Linked DNA regions of Oreochromis niloticus. The protein of the gene in region 2 purifies or fractionates together with the protein of the main gene of each other region. This does not show direct contact. Links are inferred from orthologs where the notes say so. Each region holds a gene or a part of one and is shown on either strand. Other genes may lie near its edges.

Region 1 (6,999 bases), on a different chromosome or scaffold from region 2:
GAGATGTACAGAACGTCACTCCGCTACGGCGACTATGTGTATCCACTGTGGGGTAAAGCCTTAGGTGTGTGCATGGGGGCCACCTGCTGTTTACAGATCCTCATCTGGGCTATTGTCGCCATCAGCAAAGAAACTGGAACACTGAAAGAAGTCAGTATCACCACTCATTAACGTACACTACCGTCACAGTAGCAGTCTCAAGTGGGTGTGTGATTATCTCTGGCTTTCTCTCTCTCTTTGTTTTGACAGCGTTTCCAGAAATCAATCCGACCACTAAATTCCTGGAGGCAAAATAACCTGAACAGCACAGTGAGAGCAGAGGAGCACATAGAGCCTGAGCAAGTGGATCCCCCGTACACGGTCACGCTCACCGACATGGATTTTACTGCGATGACGTGGGACGTGGGAAGCCAGGCATAAGGGAACAGAGCATTTGTGAATACACCATGATGAGCAGACTTCGCTCTAAACAGACAGAGGAATTTACTATTTTGTTATTGGCTGAGGTTCAGCTCTGGAGGCTATGGTCACTCACACTGTGTCCTGTGTCAGGGCAGTATGGATTACCTGCTATATTTATACTACTATGTACATATAAATAGATTTTTCAAATTCTTTTTCATTGCTTAGAATATAAGGTTACTGAGGTTTTAGAGGAAGCTTGGATTATCATCTTATATGTGGGATTTCATGAAAATATGTCGATGAAGATGATTTTGCAATGTATATGCTGAACTTATTTATTATTATAGTAGCACAGTGCAATGAATGTCTACTGACAGTAGCCAGCAGCTACTGTACAAGGAGGAAAAGAACTTTGTGACTGTTACCCTTCATGCCACTAATGGAACCAGAGAAGTGACCACAAATCATCATGCTTTCAGACTAAATGGCGTTGAAACACAGCTGCACTGAAGCAAGATTATTTTAAATTCCATTTTTTAAATGAATGATTGCGAAAATGATTGGTAGAATAAATACATTATTTATACAATATGTTGCCAAATGAACTATTTCTCATGGTACTGTCTGTATTTCAATGCAAGAAGACTCCTGACTCTGACCATTTGCATTTCAAATAACCAGTTCCCATAGTTCCGCAGAAAATGTAGTGTTTGCGTCATGTCTAGTGAAAACTTGTCTTTGCACATCTAAATACAACCGAGTAACAACTAAATACTAAAATAGTGCTGTAGATAGATTTCACATATATCAAAGTTGGTTATCTTTTGGGGAAAAAAAATCAAATGGCATTGTTAAAGTTGATGCTTGTTTTTTCTCTTAATTTCACTGAAACTTGAATTTGACAGTCGTTTACTGTCACTTTAATTTTTAGTTGTGTTTTTTGTTTCATTGGAGTTAAATGTAGTCTGGACAAGCTTATTGTTGGGGTTTTAAATTTGCCCCCATTTGCCACAACTTTCTGTGTGTTCTAAAGTTGATGACAGTAACATCAGAACATACAGGGTAGAAATTACATGAAGACCCTGTAGTGTGCATCTGTTTAAGAGGGCTCACAGAATCAGTCTTCTCAGATTAAGCATTTAAAGCCTGAACCATAATTGCCAAGAAAATTCTTTTAAATGTTTAAATGTTCAATTGCTTATTTAAGCTGCTTATTTCTGAAGTTGAAAACATAAATAAATAAATATAAATTTGCAGGTTTTAGTTTTAATTTGTATCATATTTGCTACATCTGGCTTTTTTTTTTTTTGCAAGCTATTGCTTAAAAATGTATTGTGCAATTTCCCCAGTTCATAAATTTTGCATTTGTAATCCCTTTCTGGATTTCAGAATTACAAAATAAATACCATCAAAAGAGGTTGGTTTTAAAAAAAAAAAATTATTTTCTTGCAGAATCGTTTCATAAACCTTTACATAAACATTTAAGAACATTTTTCGTTTCTGTTCACTTTGTTGATCTCATGTACAATGGTGTCTATATTGAATACATATTCTCATATTGAAATTGTAAAGCACTTTGAGTGTCTAGAAAAGTGCTATATAAATGCAATCCATTACTATTATTATATTAAATGAGAAACGGTTCCTTTTGCTTATTGTATATTTCTTATAGTGTCCAATTAAAAACTACTTGAAGCTATGAGATGAGTATATATATAGCCCATAACAGTTTAACTTAACCTAATGAGAAGCATTAGTGTGATCACAGAGGCCAGTGATGTGGTAGTCTGCCTCTTAACAACACACATTCATTGGCCGCTTTGTTAGGTACAGGTGTTCAACTACTTATTAGTTACCGGTATGTGGCAGCCGCTTGATGTGTTCAGGCATATAATCATGGTCAAGATGATCTGATAAGTTTAAACCACACATCAGAATGGGAAGTAAAGATGATTTAAGAGAACTGAGTGTAGTTGTTGTTGCCAGGCAGACTGGTCTCTGTTCTCCAGAAACTACTGATCTACTGGGATTTTTAGACACAAACATCTCTAGGGTTTACAGAGAACGAAAGCATGGATCCATCCTGTCTTGTTTTAATGGTTCAGCATGTAGTGGTGATGTAATGGTGTAAGGGAAATTTTCTTGGCACACTTTGAGCCCCTTAGTACCAATTAAGCAGCATTCAAGTTGTACCACAGTGTATTGCTGCTGACCTTGACCAACCCTTTATGACTACCTTAGGATAGGTTCTTCCAACAGGATGATGTGTCATATCACAAAACTAAGATAATTTCAAATTAGTTTCTTGAACATGACTGCACGTTCACTGTAGTCAAATGGCCTCCACAGTCACCAGCTCTCAATCCAATAGGGCACCTTTGATGTGGGATGTTGTGGGTGGAAGATTTGCATCGTGGCTCTGTAACAGAAAAATATGCTGCATTTGTGGGATGTTGTCATATAAATATGGTTAAAAATCTCTGAGAAATGTTTCCAGCACCTTGCTGAATCTGTGTCACAAAGTAGTAGTAGTAGTGTGCAGTACTGCAAAATTTGGTATCAATCCAATAACGAGTAAACACAGGGCCAGTATTGCAATAGATAGCAATACCAATACTTTTAACCTATAAAGACAGGCTATAAATAAAGTAGATGTGACTGTCCACACAAAAAGGTTCAGTCATTTTTCACAGTGTATGTTTGACGCATATTTTTTCATTTCCAAAAAATAACTTATATATATATTTTTTTTACACAAGTCAGTGGGTTACATACTGAACTTAACAAAGAAAGTATCAATCCTACTGCGCTAGTATCAATCCAGTACCAATACCAGCAGTGGTATCAATGCTACCAATATTTGGATCGATCAGCCCACCTCTATCACAAAGACTTAAGGCAGTTCTAAAGGCAAAAGGGGATCCAACCCTTTAGTGGCAAAGTGAACCTCATAACATGGCTGGTGAAATGTATTTCCGCATGAAAGTAGGATGCTACTAACAGACAATAGAGGTGATTGAGGGTCCTCTAACTAGGTAATATGTACTCACTGGAAAGGTTTCTTAAAAGCTTGCAGCACAAGTTATTTGTGAATTTTTGCCACGAGAGGGCAACGATTGCACACTTAGAGGTGAAGTTTTACACACTAACAGAGCTGCCAAATAAACATGTACATGTGTGCTATAATTTACACTTATCACCCGCAAGATAAAAACCAGGTGAACGGGATAATAATGGTCATCTAACTGCATTTAATGTCCTCTACCGGGAAGCCTTGACATCGTTTTTTTTTGTTTTTACATGATATTACTTTAACATATATTATTGCAGAGGCACAGCCTCCCCTCCCGAAATAGTGCAGCCTGTAAGTGCCACATAAACTAATTGAGGAACACGACAATGAGTGAATAAACGCTTCCGATATTAAGCAGAAGGTTTAAATGTTGTGGGTTGCAGGTGTATGTAAAGGGGCTATATTACTACTATTTCTGTTCCAGGCGCGTTGGAGGTCGAACAGGATGTTACGTAGACTTTTTTTCCCGCGTTTTCGAGTCCTCGGGTTGGGTTAGTTCGTTTGCGGTTTTTGTCACGTGATCCCGGCGTAACGCTACATCTGTCTGTTTGCAATGACAGACCTCTTGTCTGTGCGTGAGAAGTTATAAATCGGTTCTTTGACAGAAGTTCTGACAACACCGAGTTTAAACGGAGACTGACGATCGCAAAAACACAAATGAACAAAGTCTTGTGGACAGGTTTTTGAGCACTAACCGCCGAGTACTTGTAACACCGCTGCAGCGTCGCCAACGGCGCTTCACCGCGCAGTACGTTGATACAAAACGAGCATCCACAGATCTACAGTTGCAGGAAGTCACTGAGGTTTTGTTGTCACGGAACTCTTGAAGTGGGATTTACACTTAGTAAACAATATCAGTCGGCTTTAAAACATATTTGAGTTTTATCTATTAATTATTGGCCGTTACGTAACCGGATACCAAGATGCCACCTAAAAAACGCAATTCTGGGACGTCACAGAGCAAAGAGATGAAACCCACTGCTGAAAATGCCTCTCCAGACAAGAAGGAAAGTCCAGAGTTGTCTCTTAAGAAGTAAGAGAAGTAATGATCACCTCGCCGTCAAGTCGCAGTAGCTTCAGTTTGTGGCTTTGTAAAATAAAAAAATAAAAAAATGTTGACATTGTAGACAGATATTTTGGTCTTTCCCCCAGCTACGTTTGTCTTGCTCGCTAGCTTGTGCGACTAAACGTCAGGCTGATCTGTTAGCTGTGTCCACCGGCCTAATAACAGCGAGTTTAAAAGTATGTTTAGCCCCATACAACTGGTCAAAGAGTAACTATTCAGTAATGAATGAAATTTGAAATGTAGTCTGGGTATAGCTCTCAAACGCTGTGTTTGAGAGCTATACCCTACTATACCCTGTACCCTGCTCAGACTCTGACTGGCAGTCAGAGTACCTCATAAGACTAGACCGTTGTCTTGAGTGCAGTTGTTTTGATTTCCTGAAACCGTATTCGTGTTTTCCGTGGTTGCTAACCTCTGGTCTCCATCTTTTAGGTACGGAGACAAGGATGCTGAGTTTGTGACTCTGTGCAAGAGCCTTCATGTGACTGACCCTGTATGTGATCGAGCCTGGACGCTGTGGAAAACCGTTCAGGAGTCCGTGGATGAAGCTGCTGTACGTATTTGCACATACTGTAGTTCAGTAGTTCCACTCTACATTTATAATACTGCAGTCCTGTCGCCTGTCCTGGAAAAAGCATGAGTGGAAATCGATCATTTAAATTCCTTATCTTATACAGCAACAAATTAGAACAGTGTTTGACCCAAAGCAATACATATTGCAGGATGGAATGGTGGTGCAGTGGTTATCACTGTCACCTCACAGCAAAACAAATCCAGGCTGTATGTCCTCCTGTTTCTGGTTGGGTTCTCACTGGGGTCAGAACTGAGACACAGTCAGTTTGGTGATTCTAAACTGATTGTCTTTATGCGTTAGCCCTATGGCCTGTCAAGGGTGTTTAACTATAGCATAACCCCGCACAGTTCAGCATTATTTTATTCATTAATAACGGTTTAGTCCATATGACCCTTCTCAAGTATAGAGAAACCAGGGTGTATCCAATCTCTCCTGCAAATCAGAGCTTCTACAACAGGGGTGGGCAATTCCAGGCCCCGAGGGCCGGTGTCCCTGCAGGTTTTAGATCTCACCTTGGGTCAACACACCTGAATCACATGATTAGTTCGTTACCAGGCCTCTGGAGAACATCAGGACGTGTTGAGGAGCTAATTTAGCCATTTAAATCAGCTGTGTTGGTTCAAGGACACATGTAAAACCTGCAGGGACACCGGCCCTCGGTGCCCACCCCTGTTCTACAACACAGGTGTCGAACTCCAGGCCTCGAGGGCTGTTGTCCTGCAGGTTTTAGATGTGTCCTTGATCCAACACAGCTGATTTAAATGGCTAAATTACCTCCTTGACATGTCTTGAAGTTCTCCAGAGGCCTGGTAATGAACTTATCATTTGATTCAGGTGTGTTGACCCAGGGTGATATCTAAAACCTGCAGGACACTGGCCCTTGAGGCCTGGAGTTCGACACCTGTGTTCTACAACATTGTTGAAAGAGATCCAAAAAGAAGACAAGAAAAGGAAAGTCCACAAACATGGCAAATCACAAGCTGTGGGAAGAAGACAACACAAAGTTAGTGATAGGCATGTAAATGCATGGGGAGTGAAAGAAAGTACAATTTGTACTGTTTTGGCCATAAACCCTTTAAAAACCCTTTATGTAAGCTTTCTTTTTGCAGTACTGAGTCCAATTTTAAATCAAAGCTTACACACAATATCCACTGTGTCTTATTGGTGAAATGGGATATTAGGAGGCTAAGTATTTTTGCCTTTTAACCAGTAGCCAGGAACAGTCCAAAAAATAATAATTTAAAAAGTACCGAAAGAAATAAAGTGGAATAGCTTTATAATCCCCTTAAAAACAGTTGCTCTTCCATTCCTAACAAAAAGTGAAAAGATGTGACACGAGCATCTTCTAACATTGTTCTTTGTCATTTGGTTTCAGGACAGTCAGAAGAAGCTTTGGGGTGCTTGTCTGTTTGTGACTGTGACAGACATGGATGCCACCTGTTTCACCTTGACCCAGGTTCTGAAAGCAGTCTGTCTGAAGTAAGCGCTTGCTATGTTTTCTTGACAAAACATAACCTCACAGTCCCACTGTTGGCATGGGATATTGGTGAATGTGAAATTTTTTTGGGTAGCTGATGACTTGAGCCTTGCTTGAGTATTAGCTGCTGGGATTTTCATTCTTTGGAAATAGGAAACTTTTTTTTTCAGGGTAGCAGATGTTTTTTACTCAGCAAAAGCAGAACTTTATTTGGGATTGCTATTTGAAATAAAGTAGAAGAACTACAGGCTGTGTAAGAACATTAAACATGTATCCTCCTGCTACTTACTCCAGCTGTAGATAGATCTTTGTGTGTTCACCCTTTGATGGATGGAAAAGGAGTCCAGGTATAGGCTCCAGGTCCATTGTTCATCTCTCAGTTGGATAGTTTGTGAAACAGATTG
Region 2 (7,052 bases):
ATACCTGAAACAGGTAGAGTATGAAGGGAAAGCAGTTGTTTCCTGAGGGATTAGTGTGCTTGTGAAGTCCTGCTCTTTAACAATAAAAGCCACAAGTTGGTGCTTGAATTTTATTTCAGCCCCATGCCCCTTTGTTTAAAGCTTGACGCTACCATCAGTTGAACTGATCATTCAGAATGGAGACTGTTTTGTATTTCGTCACTCAACTGGATGTATGTCTCCTAATATGGAATCCACACAGCCAGCAGATGTCATAAGTTTACAACTTCCCTTTCATTATAATGAATTGAACCTCTTGCGACCTCTTAAAGTAAAATTCACTGCTGCGTGCAGTACATGTGTCAAGATAAATATTGTTTTAGGGACATTTTTCAGACAATAGGTTTCGCTGTTACATGAGTGTTTGACCTGAAAATGAACAAATGAGCAAGTAAAACTTTACAGTTTCCCAGATGCTAGTTAAACATCCAGTATAAAATTAGATATGCGAGCTTTATTACAAAATTGTGCAAACTCCTTGCCTCAAACTCCTTGTCTCTTGTTAAGCGCTTAACATGAGTTAATTATATTAACTTTGTTTATTTTGTGGTTGCAGTACTTAAGAACACTTCTCATTATCACTGCAGACATCTCAGTCATGGTGGCCTTTTGCTCAAACTGTTGTTGAAAACACAGACACTGGAAAGCATGTTACACATGCATGACTCGTGATAATGACATGAGTCTTACAGATACAGATAAATAAGTAAACTTTCAAACTTCTGCGGTAAAAATGAATTTAAATAATCTAATTTAAATTAGTTTAATCTGCTTTATTTCTATAGCCTAAACATATCACAAAACAGGCGTAACAATGAGAAATGTCAGTTACAGTTAGAAAAGGTCACTGTTTGCACTTACAGTAAGTAATTAGCCCATTCCACTACACAGTCTGTTTTTGTCCCGTTGTTTTGCTGTTAAGATATCTTCAATCAATATTTCTGTCTTTATAAAGTCTTTATTTCATGATAGTAAGGAATAAACTCCCAGACCATTCCGGTCAACACAAAACACTAGCATGAGATTTCCTGGCTCAACTTGTTTCTCCAGCTCTGAGATGTCTGAATCTTTAAGCGTTTGTCTGTTATATGTAGTCATTATTCAGACAAGTCCTGCAAGTGTTACCTGCTCAAGACCTGACTGACGTACATCATCATATGTAAATGTTCAACAAAAGCTTTCTAAATACTCTTTGTTTTAAACTCTTTTTATCATACATGAGCCACAACTTACTGTGCTAGTTTCAATTGATGTGGCTTAATATTCTCCCAGGACACGTATATGTTTGGCTTAATAAAAAAGTAAACAAAAAAACTAAGTTCACCGCATGATACAAAAACTTCTATAACTTTAACTTGAAGTAACTGTTTTCTGTATGACTTTATCAGTCTCTCACATCATTGTGGGGGAATTTTTATTGCACTCTTCTTTACAGTGTTTCTTCATTCATTCATACACAGCTCTCTTAAAGTCTTTCCACTTGGACTGGGCCACTGCAGCACCTTAATTCTTATATTTTTCAGCCATTGTGTTTTAGACCTGCTGCTGTGCTCGGGAATATTCTCCTGTCTAACCCAGTTTTAGCCAAGCTTTATCGGTCACATTTGGTGCTAGAACACTTTGGTACACAGAGAAGTTCATGGCTGACTCAATCCTGCAAACCTAGTCCAAACCATCACGCCTCCGCCACCGTGCTCGACAGTTGTTCTTTATGCTCATGTTGTGTTCGGTTTTCCAAGAACTGTGTATTATGGCCAAACATCAAACAAACAACAACAAAGCCGCAGTTTCTCTGAGAATTGCACAGTCTGAGCTTGGGGTGAATTTGCTAGAACATCCACCGCTGGGAAGATTGGCAACTGCCTTGAATGATGGATTTCAAGTTATTCATGAATGGCCTTATAATCTTTTCAGACTGCTGGTCCATACTAGTTATTTCTCTGAGATCGTTGCTGCTGTCTTTCCTCCTTGGTAACGTGTTAACATATATGATATTGTGACTCTTTTCCATTTAAATAATTGAAAAACTGTAAAATGCATACATCGCTTCCACCGTTGTTATAATATAATAATAAAAATAACTAATTTTCCTTTAATGAAATGATGCATGCATGACAATATTTTAAATAAAAAATAATAATGTCATTTTTTAATGCCTTATTGCAATTACATGGTTATGAACACTCTCTCCAGCCCCCAGTTTGAGAATAAGAGAAAAAACAACATTAATAACATTGCTATAGTGAATTTGTCTGGCCACAATAATCAGGCAGTGAAGTGAAAAAAATATTAAGTTTCACCATTCATTGTGAATCTTTAACAGGAACAGAGAGAAAAAATCGAATGCAGTCAACCACAGTAGTTCTCAAACTGAGTTCCACTGTACATAGAGCTGCTGCTGGTGGAGTGTGGACAACCATTGTTAAATCCTTAATTAACTGTGATCAACCACATTTTGGTTTTGGAAAGCTGAGTTCAGTTTCACCAGCCACACCCAGGCCTGATTACTGCCAGTGAATCAGCCTGTTTCACTTAAACAGAACTTCTTTGACAAAGAGAAGCAGACTGAAAGATCTCAACACATCATGCCGCAATCTAAAGAAACAGCTGAGAAACAAAGAAGTCATTGGCGTCTATCGGTCTGGGAAGGGTTACAAAGCCATTTCTAAGGCTCTAGGACTCCAGTGAACCATCATCCACAAATGTAGAAAATGTGAAACAGTGATGAACATTTCCACGAGTGGCTGGCCTACCAAAATTACTCTAAGAGCACATCAACGATTCATCCAAGAAATCACAAAAACTCAGAACAACATCTAACAAACTTCAGGCCTCACTTGCTTCAGTTAAGGTTGGAGTGCATAATTCAACAGTAAGGAAGAGACTGGGCAAAAATGGCATCCACAGGAGAGTTCCAAGAAAACCACTGCTAACCAAAAAGAACACAAAAGCTCATCTCACATTTGCCAAAAAACATCCTAATGATCCCCAAGACGTCTGGGAAAAAATATTTAGTTTACTGACAAGACAAAAGCTGAACTTTTTGGAAGGTTTGATTTCTATTTCATCTGGTATAAAACTAGCAGAGGCTTTCATAAAAAAGACACTCATACGAAGAGTTAAACATGGTGGTAGTATTGTGATGGGCTGGGGCTGTTATGCTCCTTCAGGCCCTGGACGACTTGCCCTAATTGATAGAACCATGAATTCTGCTCTCTTGCAGAAAATCCATGAGGAGAATGTCCAGCAATCAGGTTGTGCCATGAAGCTCAAGGGCACTTAGGTTACGCAGCTGGACAATGATTTGAAATATACAAAATAACAAAATTAGGTTTTTAGAGTGACAGGTTGAAAGTTCAAGACTAAATTTGATTGAAATTTGCATGTCCTTAAAAAGTTGCTCATGCTTGAAAAAAGTCCATTGAATTAAAACAATATTAATTTTATTTTTTTTATCTGAAAGATGTGAATGCATGCAAAGAAAAGAAAAAAGAAAAAAAAACTGGAAGGAGGCAAACAGATTTAATTAATAATTAATAAAGATTAATAAAGTTTTTAAGTTTCTACCTATTAACTTACCAATTTTGTGAATTAAGAAATTTTAGCAACTCCCAAAAACTTTTGCAGTGTATGCTTTATTAAACAGTTTCATCATTTCATCATTACTGTGTCTAATAATGACTATTTTTAACAAAGATAAATATTAAAGAAATAAAACGTTTACACGTTATTAACCTTTTGTTATTGTTATGCCCGTGTGTTGGCTGATATAGAATCTCTTTGTGGTTATATTGCTATACGAAGCTGTATCTTTAGACAGTTACTTTAACCGTCTACAGATACAGCTAAATATTGAATGTCTTCTGGTTGATAGCAACAGGCCAAACGCGGTGGAAAAAGACAGACAGGGACACCACGGAGTTATGTGTGTCCTGTAACTCGGGCCAGTTAGATCTTATTCGTCATTGGTACATCCGGGTACCTTTTTTTTTTTTTGATTGACAGTTGCCATGGCAACAAGCTAGAGCATCGCCATTTTGTCAGGAGGGTTTTTTTCCCCAGCTCAGTCTTTTCAAATGTTCTCCCTTCCCGCCGGAATAATGCTGTCAGTGGATATATGTCTGACGTTTTTGGATATCGAAATGCGTCTAGTGGATCGGATTAAGAAGATCAAGAGGCCGACGTTTTAACACAGTTGAAATAATTAGGCGGCGCCGCACTAACTCAGTTGTCCGTGTCTCTGGTCCACCGGGCCGGTTCACTGCGCAGGTTTGGACCGCGCGCCATTTTGTGAAAATTGACACAAAATTCCTAACCAAAATTACCAGAGGACACGGATTCCGTTTCACGTTTAAAATACTCCGGATTTAACCGTGTTCTCGTGTTTGTCGAAGTGGCCGGCGCCAAATTTGCGAAGACGGCGTAAAAATCTGAATTTGGCAGAACATTTATTTAGCGGTGGCTAGATTCGTTAGCTTGAGGCTAGCCACGGAAGCTACAGCTAGCCAATGTTAGCTGCGTTCATTTTGTCAACTAGCTAGCCAGCTCGCTAAGGTTAGCTGGTGAGTTATGCGTGCTAGTTAACGTTAGCATGTTGCTTGTCATCAGCTGATAGTAACGTTAGTCAAGAGTTTCTTCGACAGGCGATGTTTTTCAATAGTGCTTGGGACATGAAGAGCGCAATGAACCTGACTGGCGAATTATTTTAGCCGGTCAGAGGACGGGGGAATTGGATTTAACGTTAACATTACTCGCTAACCGTGCAGGGAGGGGAGAATCTCAAACTGGATAAGTTTCCTCATCATACAGGTTATTGGACTTTAAATGAAGATCGTGCCATCAGAGGTGAGCAAAAGCCTATGCGAAAGCGTTCAGGTTAACGCTTTCGTGGATGTATATGTTGTGTGTAACGTCAATGGTTAACAATGATGGACGCGATCGTGAAGTTGAGAAAGGTAGCTTGTGGTATGGCGGCTAGCTAACGTTTTGTGGCGGCGCCGACTCCGCTGGAGCCACCTATAACGTTTGCTTTCAGTCAGTAGGTCAACTGATTATTAATGTCAGACAGAAACAGCATCCGAACTGGTTTTTGGACTAACCCCAGAGAGAGAGGGGTGCAGCGGATTGTGTGGGTTTGGGCGAAGAGTCATGCTGGCACAGCGTTAACGTTAAAGCTAGCCCTGCGATATTACACAGTGTCATTGTAGGATTGAAGAAAATGTTGCTCTGCTGGCTCATATTTCCGTTGTGAATTACTGTCTAACTATATTACTTGCAGAGGTGTAGTTTTGTTTTTTACAGCAATGGAGTGCGGAAGCTAACCAGGCTAACGCCTCGTAGCTAAATCGGCTAACTCGGCTAATGGTTAACGCTGACTTGTTGACGAACCAGCTGAATGGGCCCCGCAACCCGCTGGCTGCACACACAGCGTCACTAGCTAACGTTAACACTGGATTGGTGAGAGATATGCTTGCTTGTCCCGCAGTTTTCAGGGTAACGTTAACGACGACAGCGTTAGCTAGTTAGACTGCTAACGGTAACGTGAGCCTGAATACGTTTGTCATTTATGCGAGGAATTGGGAGTCACACACACGAACGATATGTAGCAAGACTGGACGCAAATTAACACTGAATATGCTTCCTAAATTCCAACCATGACGAGCGCTACCCCATCATCTGTAAGTACAGAGCTACCCGGGGACGGTCTTTATACATGAGCGTTAGGCTTTTAATTGTTTTGGGTTGGTTTCGTTTGATTCAGCTTTGGAATGGATCTAATCAGTTGGGCGTGAGAAGATGACACGCAGACTTGTTATAGAGGTCTTTAGCCATCACTTATGATATGATACGGCTACTAATAGCAAGCTAGCTGTCGTTATATTTACACCTAAATAGGCCCGTTGATGCCGTAATGACTAGAGCCAGGAAAGGAACTGTTCATATGTCAGTACTGAAAATTAACAAGAATCAGACATTTAGGGGGAGACTAAAGAGCCACAAGTGCGCTTGCAAAATGGCTTTGTGTTAAAATAGAGCTGATATTTTCCCTGTGGGGTTTGTCTTTTTGATTAAAAGACAATTTTACCTCTTAGTTTTGTTAGTATAATGCCTGCCATTGTGTTTGTGAATTTCTCTCAAACCAAACTTTTTCAGTTCTTTGTCAAAACAGTAATGGCAGTAAGGCCAGTTGGATTCACAGTAGCAGATGGCTATTTTAATAAAATATATTGTGTATTTAATTTCACCCCATTTAGATTATATTTTTAAAATCGGTATGAACATGCTGAGAGGAGGTCAAGTGCTCTTCTAGATCCACAACAATGCAAATCCTGTTTTAGTTAATGTCTCTGATAGAACTATTTAGAAGTTTCACAAGAGCTATATGCAAGTATTTCAAATATATAATTTCCTGGGTTTTAACTATCTTTACAACAAAAGCACAAGTAGCTTAAAATTTTCAAATTTGAGGTCTGTTTGTAAACTCCCTCCATTAACACATCTACCCCAAGTGAGCTTCTTAAAGTTTTGGGGTGTCTTCTGCTCTCTAGCAGTTCTCTGTCCCTTCTTATGAAAAGTTTAACCCCTATGAAGTTAAGTCCCACCAAAGATGCACAATGATGATATTCTGTTTTTATTCTTTGTAGTGGGTTGTGGTTTGCTGCTGGACTCTCCTCCCAGGATGATATGAAATTTTACAGGAGAAGATGCATCCAGGTTAGCTGCTATATATTAAGCCTTAACCCTTTGGTGAGGAAGTAGTGCTCTTCTAAGAGCTTCTCTTTCAGTTTTGTTGTTGTTTTAAATTCAGACTCACAAATTTGTAGGACTCTCTTTAGGGGGTAAAAAAGTCAAGTAAAGATGAATAATTAAGAATTATCAGTATAGTATTTACCATTTAATTCATTGCAACTTATTTGATTGCAGAGCTCAAAGTAATTAAAATTAGTTTAGTTTTTGTTTTTTTGTCTGAACTGAACAAGCAGTAAAACAAAGTAGTCATGACAAATTGAAGT
Region 3 (7,186 bases), on a different chromosome or scaffold from region 2:
CTGACCTTACTTAAGGGAAAATGATTTTAGATTTTATATAAGTGCCAATGCAGCATGACAGGCGGAGCTGGAAACTTTGGGAAGAATGAGGGAATCACATGAAGCAGTGTTAATTTATGTATTGTGCTTTGACATCAGGGCTTAATACAGTATTCATTTGTGCCAGAGTCTCACTTTCAAGGGACATGCAGGCTGCAGAGATTTTAGTTCGTGTAGCAGCTCAATGCACATTTTAAGCAAAGGTCTTGCACAGTGTTTTTCTTTTTTTCGACCACTTGTATTCAGTAGTTATTACCAATAAATAGCTTTTAAGAAACTTTAAACAGAGCTGAGAGAATCAAAACCACAAAATCTAATCAGACAAGGGACTATAGATCTGGAAGAAAGGTGGTTTTAAAAAGTGAGACCATCACAAATGCAGGAAGGCACTTTAAATATACTGGGATCTGTCTTTCAGGCATTAAACGCTCACCTCTCACACATGTCCAATTTTACAGGTAGTGTAAAATTGTCTCGATGCGAGCTAGCTGATATTTCAGCTTTTTCTTTGATCAGAACCACTCCTTTATATGGCGGGCTGCTTGGAAGACCAAATATCTCTCTGGTGATATTTTGTATTTTTGTTTTGACCAAATGAAAAGAATGAAGAGGAAGCCAGCAGCGTGTTGGCCTGTCTTTGAATACAGCCACTATCCCATTTGCTCCTACTGGAATCCTGATAAATAGCCAAAATACGAGAATCACTCTTTCAAACTACCATAAATTCAGCACTCCCATTTACCGCACTCACATCCACACCAACAACACAGATTTCACTCATTATTAATTATAAGAGAGTCCTAATAATGCTGGCAGGTAGTATGATACTTGCAAGTATTGCCAGTGCTTTAATTTTGTTTTCATTGGAGTCAGTAAGACAAATACAGAATATCACCATGTCCTCCGATGAGGTGAGCGCTTGATGCTCGAAGGATTTCAGGTGAAGTATAACTTTAAATGGGACTGTGAGGGACAATCACTGCGTAGTTCTTGGTCAGTGATGGGGTGGTCCACAGGCTGTTGGCGTCGGTGTCAATTTAGGGATGTGTGACAGTTTCCACAGTACTGTGTGTAAAACCTCAGACTTAAATCTTGTGACTTTTTTTTCGTTGCCTTCATTGCTAAAAGAAAAAAAAATTAAACAATGGTCAGTCCATCCGTGCAGATTACCCAACAGATCATTGTCATCTGCCTTTATCTTTGTGATTTGCTGTTGAAAGATTGGGACTTATTACCTTGATCCTGTCAGTGTTTTCACCAATCGGGGCCTCTACTGATTCAATAAAATTGTGCCACTTTAATTGAGTGATTATAGGTGCAGTGCAGCCTAATCTAGCTGATTGTTTGTGGTGCCTGAAAGTATGACTGTATTTTTTTTTTTCAGTTTTTGGTTTCCAGAAAGTTTTTTTCTTTCTTTTTTTTTTTTTTTTACCAAGCTGTCATTATGCTGAGGATAGATTGTGATTGTATATTTGAGAAAATTAATGGTCATTGTGTGCAGGTTTAGTTTCTTTTTTGATAAATTCCAGATATTTTTTTGTGCTGCTTTCCAGTTCTTTCCTCCTGACACAAACCAGCCATCTGGAAAAGTGTGGTGGCGCTCCCATTAAATCGCTTGCTCGTTTCCCGTTTCTCTTTCCTCACTTCGTGCTTTGTCTTTTCTCCTGAAAGCACGTGCTTCTCTCTTATATTTCCTAAGTGTGTGAGAGATATAAAGTTTTATGTCAACTCAATCATATAAAAAAGACAGAAATGGAGACAGTTTGCTATTGCCTTATCCATAGATTACTCATTTTCAGCTTTCACCACCACATGTTTTAAAAATGAGTCAGCATTTGGGTTAGATGGCCTTTCTCTGTTCAGAAATATGTCCACATGCAAAAATGCCAGAATGACAAGAAGGATGAGTTATGTAGCTGTCGGGACCTGTAGCAAAACATGTTTATTTACCTCTTTCACTAAGCTCTCTGGACATACACAGCCTGTGCCTTTTGAATGTGGACTATGTTTAATCATAGCATCAATTATCATAACCGTTGTAGCATTAATACCCTGAAAATCCAAAGAGGTTTCTCCAGAAGCCGTCACTGCAGACGCTGAAATAGTTAAGAGTCCTGCTTTTGTTGCCCAGAATCATTATTTTTTGAAAGATTTACACTACTTGTGCATTTTCTCCACTTGCTCTTGTTTGCCAGATCTAATGAAGCATAGCACACAATGTAACACAAACAAAGGAGACTATCGAGTATCAGCTGTGAAGGAAAGTTCACCGTCTTGTTGCCTTGCGTTGTTAGATGATCTATGGGATTTTCAGGCCATGTGCCTGCAGCCCTACCATGCACAGCAGTGACACTAACTAGCCATAGATCTGAGGTGGCGTAGGAAGAACTCCACAGGTTCATGGGTACACAACCTCTCCGGTAGCACTAATCTGTACACACACATATGAATAAAATATTACACGCTGCTGACTTATGTGACCTGGGGTGCAGTAGGGGGAGATGTGTGTGAGTGAGACTTGTTTGCATGTGAGTAGTTTCCTTCTTTGCTAGTCCTCTCCTTATTTTTAGTTTGATTCTGTACTATACTGTCATCCTATTTCATTTCAATGTCATTCTACATATATGTTAATTATTATGCATAGATTTCCAGTATTCAGGAAATTCAAATCACTAAGCTTTGCTCATTTAAGGTTACCTGAATACTGTCCTTATTTGACAGTGTATTTATAAATGATTTGTTTCAGTTTTGGCAGAAGATAGTTCTCCAGTTTAAAAAAGGATAAGTTCATGGCATTCAGTCATCTCTTTTTTTTCCTTTCTTTTCTTTTTGCAGAAGTGTGATTCTGCTTTATGACAGAGAAATAAGGGAAATACATAAAGGCATAGAGTGTCAGCACTTAAGCATCACATTGTCACTCATTTTAAATTATGTCAGCTGCACGTCTTTTCATTATAATTTGCAAGTAAATTCTACCCGTATGTGTTTTAAGTTACACTGGGACAGATTTTAAACAGTGTTGTTTGATTTGAAATGTATTTGTTTAATGTTCATGAATGAGATGTATAATGTACGTTTTGTGCACATTACCCATGTATCATTTATCAACACGTGATAGTAATCTGTACACATTTGCACAAAGCACTCAGTGTTTGTACATATGCAGTTATTTTGTCACATATGATTTTTTTATACATGTGCATGTGTCAGATTCTGTCCAAAAACAATGAATAAGAGACACATATTATCAGATTGATTTATTGTGTGTCTGTTTGCTTATGTGTGAGTTATATGACTTTATTCCTCTTTTTTTCAGTATGAGAGAAATAAATCTCCAAGCGGAAAGCTTGGACTGTCTAGCATACTGTGACGTGTAAAGTTACGTAGAGTTGAATTTCTGTGCATATAATGACTGATGACAGACTGTACTGTCATTTAGTTTTGCATTTGTAGAACTAAATAAGAGGTGAGGGAAGCAACTTAGAGATTCTCAAAAAGGCAACTTACAAATTGGACAGGTTTTAGGGAGGATTAGGCCTAACCTAAAAGGTCTCAAAATTGGAGACAGGGTTGTGATCTTTATCAGCAGCCAGCTGATGACTGAAGTTGGGGCACAGTTCATATTGACCAAGTGCATTTTAACTGCAAGAAGGTATGTTTTAATAATTTGTTGCAAACTGATAACAAAATTTAAAAGACAGTAAAATATGATTTAAAAAATGACGAATAAGTGGCTAGAAACTGAAAACTTTTGAGTATTTTTATTGTAGTCAAAAAAACTCCAATATCATGCAGAGATTCATATTTTTCCAGTTATTAAAGCAAATTCAGATCCTTGAAATGTACATTTTATATCTAATTTCTTTTTTCCAGAAAAAATCACGTGAGTTTGTAAAAATAAGGTAAAATATTTAAGTTTGCATTAAAACATCTTATAAATGATATTTCTTTTATATATTAATGTATATATTTTGCCCCAAGTTTACAAAAATAACTTAAAAGATAAGATCAAGTGGGTTGTAAAGTGCATGTGTGAATCACTGGTTGTGCTGTAGCGCCCCCAGCGGTCAGCGGTGATGGTGTTTTCACGTAGGGCGTGAATGCGCGGCCCCTCCCCCTCTACAGCCGATCTGGAAAAGAAAAAAAAACTTTTTTGTACCGAAGGAATCAACAGCCGCCATCTTGTCGTGGCTCGGAATTAGGATTTCGGTCCAACACTGGGTTTTACGTAGAAATCGAGCATCCTTCCCGTGGTATGACAGCGGCCTTCTGCCGAAAACGAAATCGTAATATCGCTTCGGAGACATTTTGTGCGAAAAAACGGGAATTGGATTGGTGGTCGTCGGGCAGAAAAGCTCCGTATATCTGATTTCCCCTTCAGAGTGCGGTGATTCAGCCCCTGTCGCCGTTCGGGAGCAGTATTGTTTACCGTGGGCAAGCGGAGAGCAGATCGTGACTTTCGAAGAGATTTGCAAAAATACGGCATTTTTATGCAATTGTGCATTTTTGTGGAGCTTCGCGCGATTTTTGCATGAAGAAATTTGACGTCACGCAAAATGGGTACTTTGAACATCTAGAAATTACGACTTTTCTCCCGGAATGCAGCAATCCACCTGATTTAACTGGATCGTCAGTGTGAGGCTCGATTTTTACATGGGGAATATTTTATTTTGGGGTATTTAACGATAATAATGTGGGTGTTGGGTGTTGGATTATCATGGGGTGAATGGCGGTGGCGAAGCGGGGCGCTATTGCATCTCTTTTAAAAGACACCGACTCTCACGGCGAGGAGTAGCTAAACGCTAACAGTTACTTTAGCTGGTAGCAGGCAATTAGCTAGCTATTAGCCAGTTAGCCAACGTTAGCAGGCTGCCAGCTTGCTAACGTGCTAACCGGGAAGGTTTTTGGTGATTGAACAACTTTCTACGTATAAGCTAATCAGAATCATCAACTTAAGCGACCGGCCAGGCAAGATTTCAACTATGGCTGAAAACCTGCTGGACGCCGGACCTCCACTCTCTAAGCGGCCGAAGCTGAATTCACCTGCCCTGTCAACGTCTGATGGACAAGGTAAAGGCCTCGATACTGTCGGCACACACAAACCCAAATGTAATGAACATTTGCACTTAAACTTCTCTTTTACTAATGGGCATTAAATCAGCCGATCCCATTGATGCAACGTTACACGTTATCCAGTCGGTTGGGTAGCAGTTACTGTGGTTTTACCGCAGTGTTGTGGTTTCATTCTGAGGTGAGCATTTACTGCACCTACCCTTAATACGCAAATGCCAGTCTTGGTACAGTCGCCTTGACTTCTGCAGCAAACCTTAACACAATACGATCAGCACAAGAACTCACCTGAGCGTCTAAAGTGGTCACGGCTACAACAACTCTAACTTTAAATTACCTGCAGCAAAAATAAAACTTCTGCTATCTTGAGAGGTGTTGCATTAGCTTTGCATTGCTGTACTGTAACGCTTTGAAAAACCACAAGACTAAAATGGCAATTATTTCTCGAATCAGGTGCAAGGTGGTGTTTTTTGTGGTAGCCTGACATTGCATTAACAGCAGGTACACATGGCATGATAGACCCACAGAGGTAACCTAGGCCCTAATTAGCTTAAATAATATTGTCTTCAAAATCACAAATCACATACCACTTAATGCCAATGTTTGTTCACCTGTTAAGACTAAGTCTGATGAAGTTTGCATCCATTTCCATTTATTTCAGGTACGATTTTAGGTGTGTGTAATCACGTGTCAGAGAAGAAAACGACTATTAACAGATACCATTTTGGTAGCTGTGCCCACTTGGTTCAGCTTGCGGCTATAAAACAACAACAAAAAAACAACCCTCACTCATCCCAATGGCCACTCCATCCATCCCTGAGCAAGCCTACATAGCCACACTCAGTCTGGATGGTGCTAGCTTCCTTTAACTTATTGAATTCTTGCAGAGAGTGCAGATATGGTTATAACGTCACATATCTCAGCAGACGTGGGCACTGCTGAAAAAAAATGTGTAGGAATGCAAGATAGAAATCTGTATGTGGCTCTGAGTATTGGAATTTGAGTGATTAGGAAATGCCTGTCTTGTATCTGTCATTTCTTGTAATTGGAAAGCAAAGATTGGGGATGTGAGTTCCCACCTGGCCCTAAAAAATCATTTTTATTATAAAACAAGACTAGTGCTTATTTTAAATCAACTTTTTGACTTGTTCTTCCAAAGTTGATAGCTGAAATTATAAAGTCATCTGGAGACTTAAAAAAAACCCTTGAGTAACGTGTCTTTTTCTTTCATCTGATTGACTGCGTGTTTTTGTTGAGGTGCTTCATGGGCCCTTAATGAAAACCTGAGTTATTGCAGCACTCTTAACCTGTCTGCAGTACTGTGTGGTAAAGGTGGAGTAGCTGAACTGCATTTCTGCAGCGCTCGCTGTTTCTGTGATGGGAAAATGTTGCTCCTGGTGTGAAGATACAAAAATGAGTTAATTTCATATCTTCAGCATAATCAGAAAGTAATGTATGCTTTACATGCAGAAGCACCCCGAATTACAGTTAAACTAGGGCTCGGCAATTAACCAATTTATAATTTCAATTCCTGATTTTGTGTTTCAGTGAAAACAAAGTGTTGGGGATAAAACAGTGGCCCTTTTAAACTTATTTTGACTGCAAAGGTCTCTCTCTCTTTCTTATTTTTCTCCCTTGTGCTGTACATGAAGCACAAACCTTTCATTTATAGTGCATATTTTTGCTGTTTGGTTCACTTCACGCCACAATGACATTTTAGCTGGAGCCCAACGTTAACAGCATCTCTCTAGAGTAGTTAAAAATCTCAATGTTTCCATTGGTGAACTTGTTGAATGATCATTAGCGGTTACATTTTTCACTGTATCAATCAAGGTCCTTCACCTGATCTGTTTTCTGTGCAACAGTTACACTTCCAAACATCCCCTGGGGATTTTTCACAAGTTTACAGGCTTTACGGTCAAGAATACCCATTAGTCTGGGCCTAACATGTACTACCAGACTCCCATGTGTCCTTCCTGCTCCCTTTGCCCATTGTTTTGGTTTTAATTTTTTTTTTTTTTTTTTTTTTTTTTTAAATTTAAACATATGAAAGGCTTCTGTGAAAATACACTGCATC

The links.
Region 1: the proteins of dyrk1ab (region 2) and rb1 purify together in Homo sapiens (affinity purification with mass spectrometry; 4 studies listed by BioGRID and IntAct, with this or other methods). This does not show direct contact. The link is inferred for Oreochromis niloticus from reciprocal best matches to the Homo sapiens genes DYRK1A and RB1.
Region 3: the proteins of dyrk1ab (region 2) and crebbpa purify together in Homo sapiens (affinity purification with mass spectrometry; 4 studies listed by BioGRID and IntAct, with this or other methods). This does not show direct contact. The link is inferred for Oreochromis niloticus from reciprocal best matches to the Homo sapiens genes DYRK1A and CREBBP.

Annotation. Positions count from the first base shown.
Region 1 is NC_031975.2:11,022,677-11,029,675, forward strand, and holds the start of rb1 (retinoblastoma-associated protein), read left to right. Parts: upstream 1-3,992; 5' UTR 3,993-4,401; coding exon 4,402-4,511; intron 4,512-4,976; coding exon 4,977-5,097; intron 5,098-6,493; coding exon 6,494-6,597; intron 6,598-6,999. Other genes in the region: slc6a7 (sodium-dependent proline transporter), read left to right, coding at 1-150, 250-420. UniProt on the Homo sapiens protein: Tumor suppressor that is a key regulator of the G1/S transition of the cell cycle. The hypophosphorylated form binds transcription regulators of the E2F family, preventing transcription of E2F-responsive genes.
Region 2 is NC_031979.2:25,834,250-25,841,301, reverse strand, and holds the start of dyrk1ab (dual-specificity tyrosine-(Y)-phosphorylation regulated kinase 1A, b), read left to right. Parts: upstream 1-4,048; 5' UTR 4,049-4,884; intron 4,885-4,940; exon of another isoform or gene 4,941-5,717; intron 5,718-6,683; 5' UTR 6,684-6,723; coding exon 6,724-6,753; intron 6,754-7,052. UniProt on the Homo sapiens protein: Dual-specificity kinase which possesses both serine/threonine and tyrosine kinase activities. Exhibits a substrate preference for proline at position P+1 and arginine at position P-3.
Region 3 is NC_031971.2:30,620,794-30,627,979, reverse strand, and holds the start of crebbpa (CREB-binding protein), read left to right. Parts: upstream 1-4,179; 5' UTR 4,180-5,021; coding exon 5,022-5,109; intron 5,110-7,186. UniProt on the Homo sapiens protein: Acetylates histones, giving a specific tag for transcriptional activation. Mediates acetylation of histone H3 at 'Lys-18' and 'Lys-27' (H3K18ac and H3K27ac, respectively).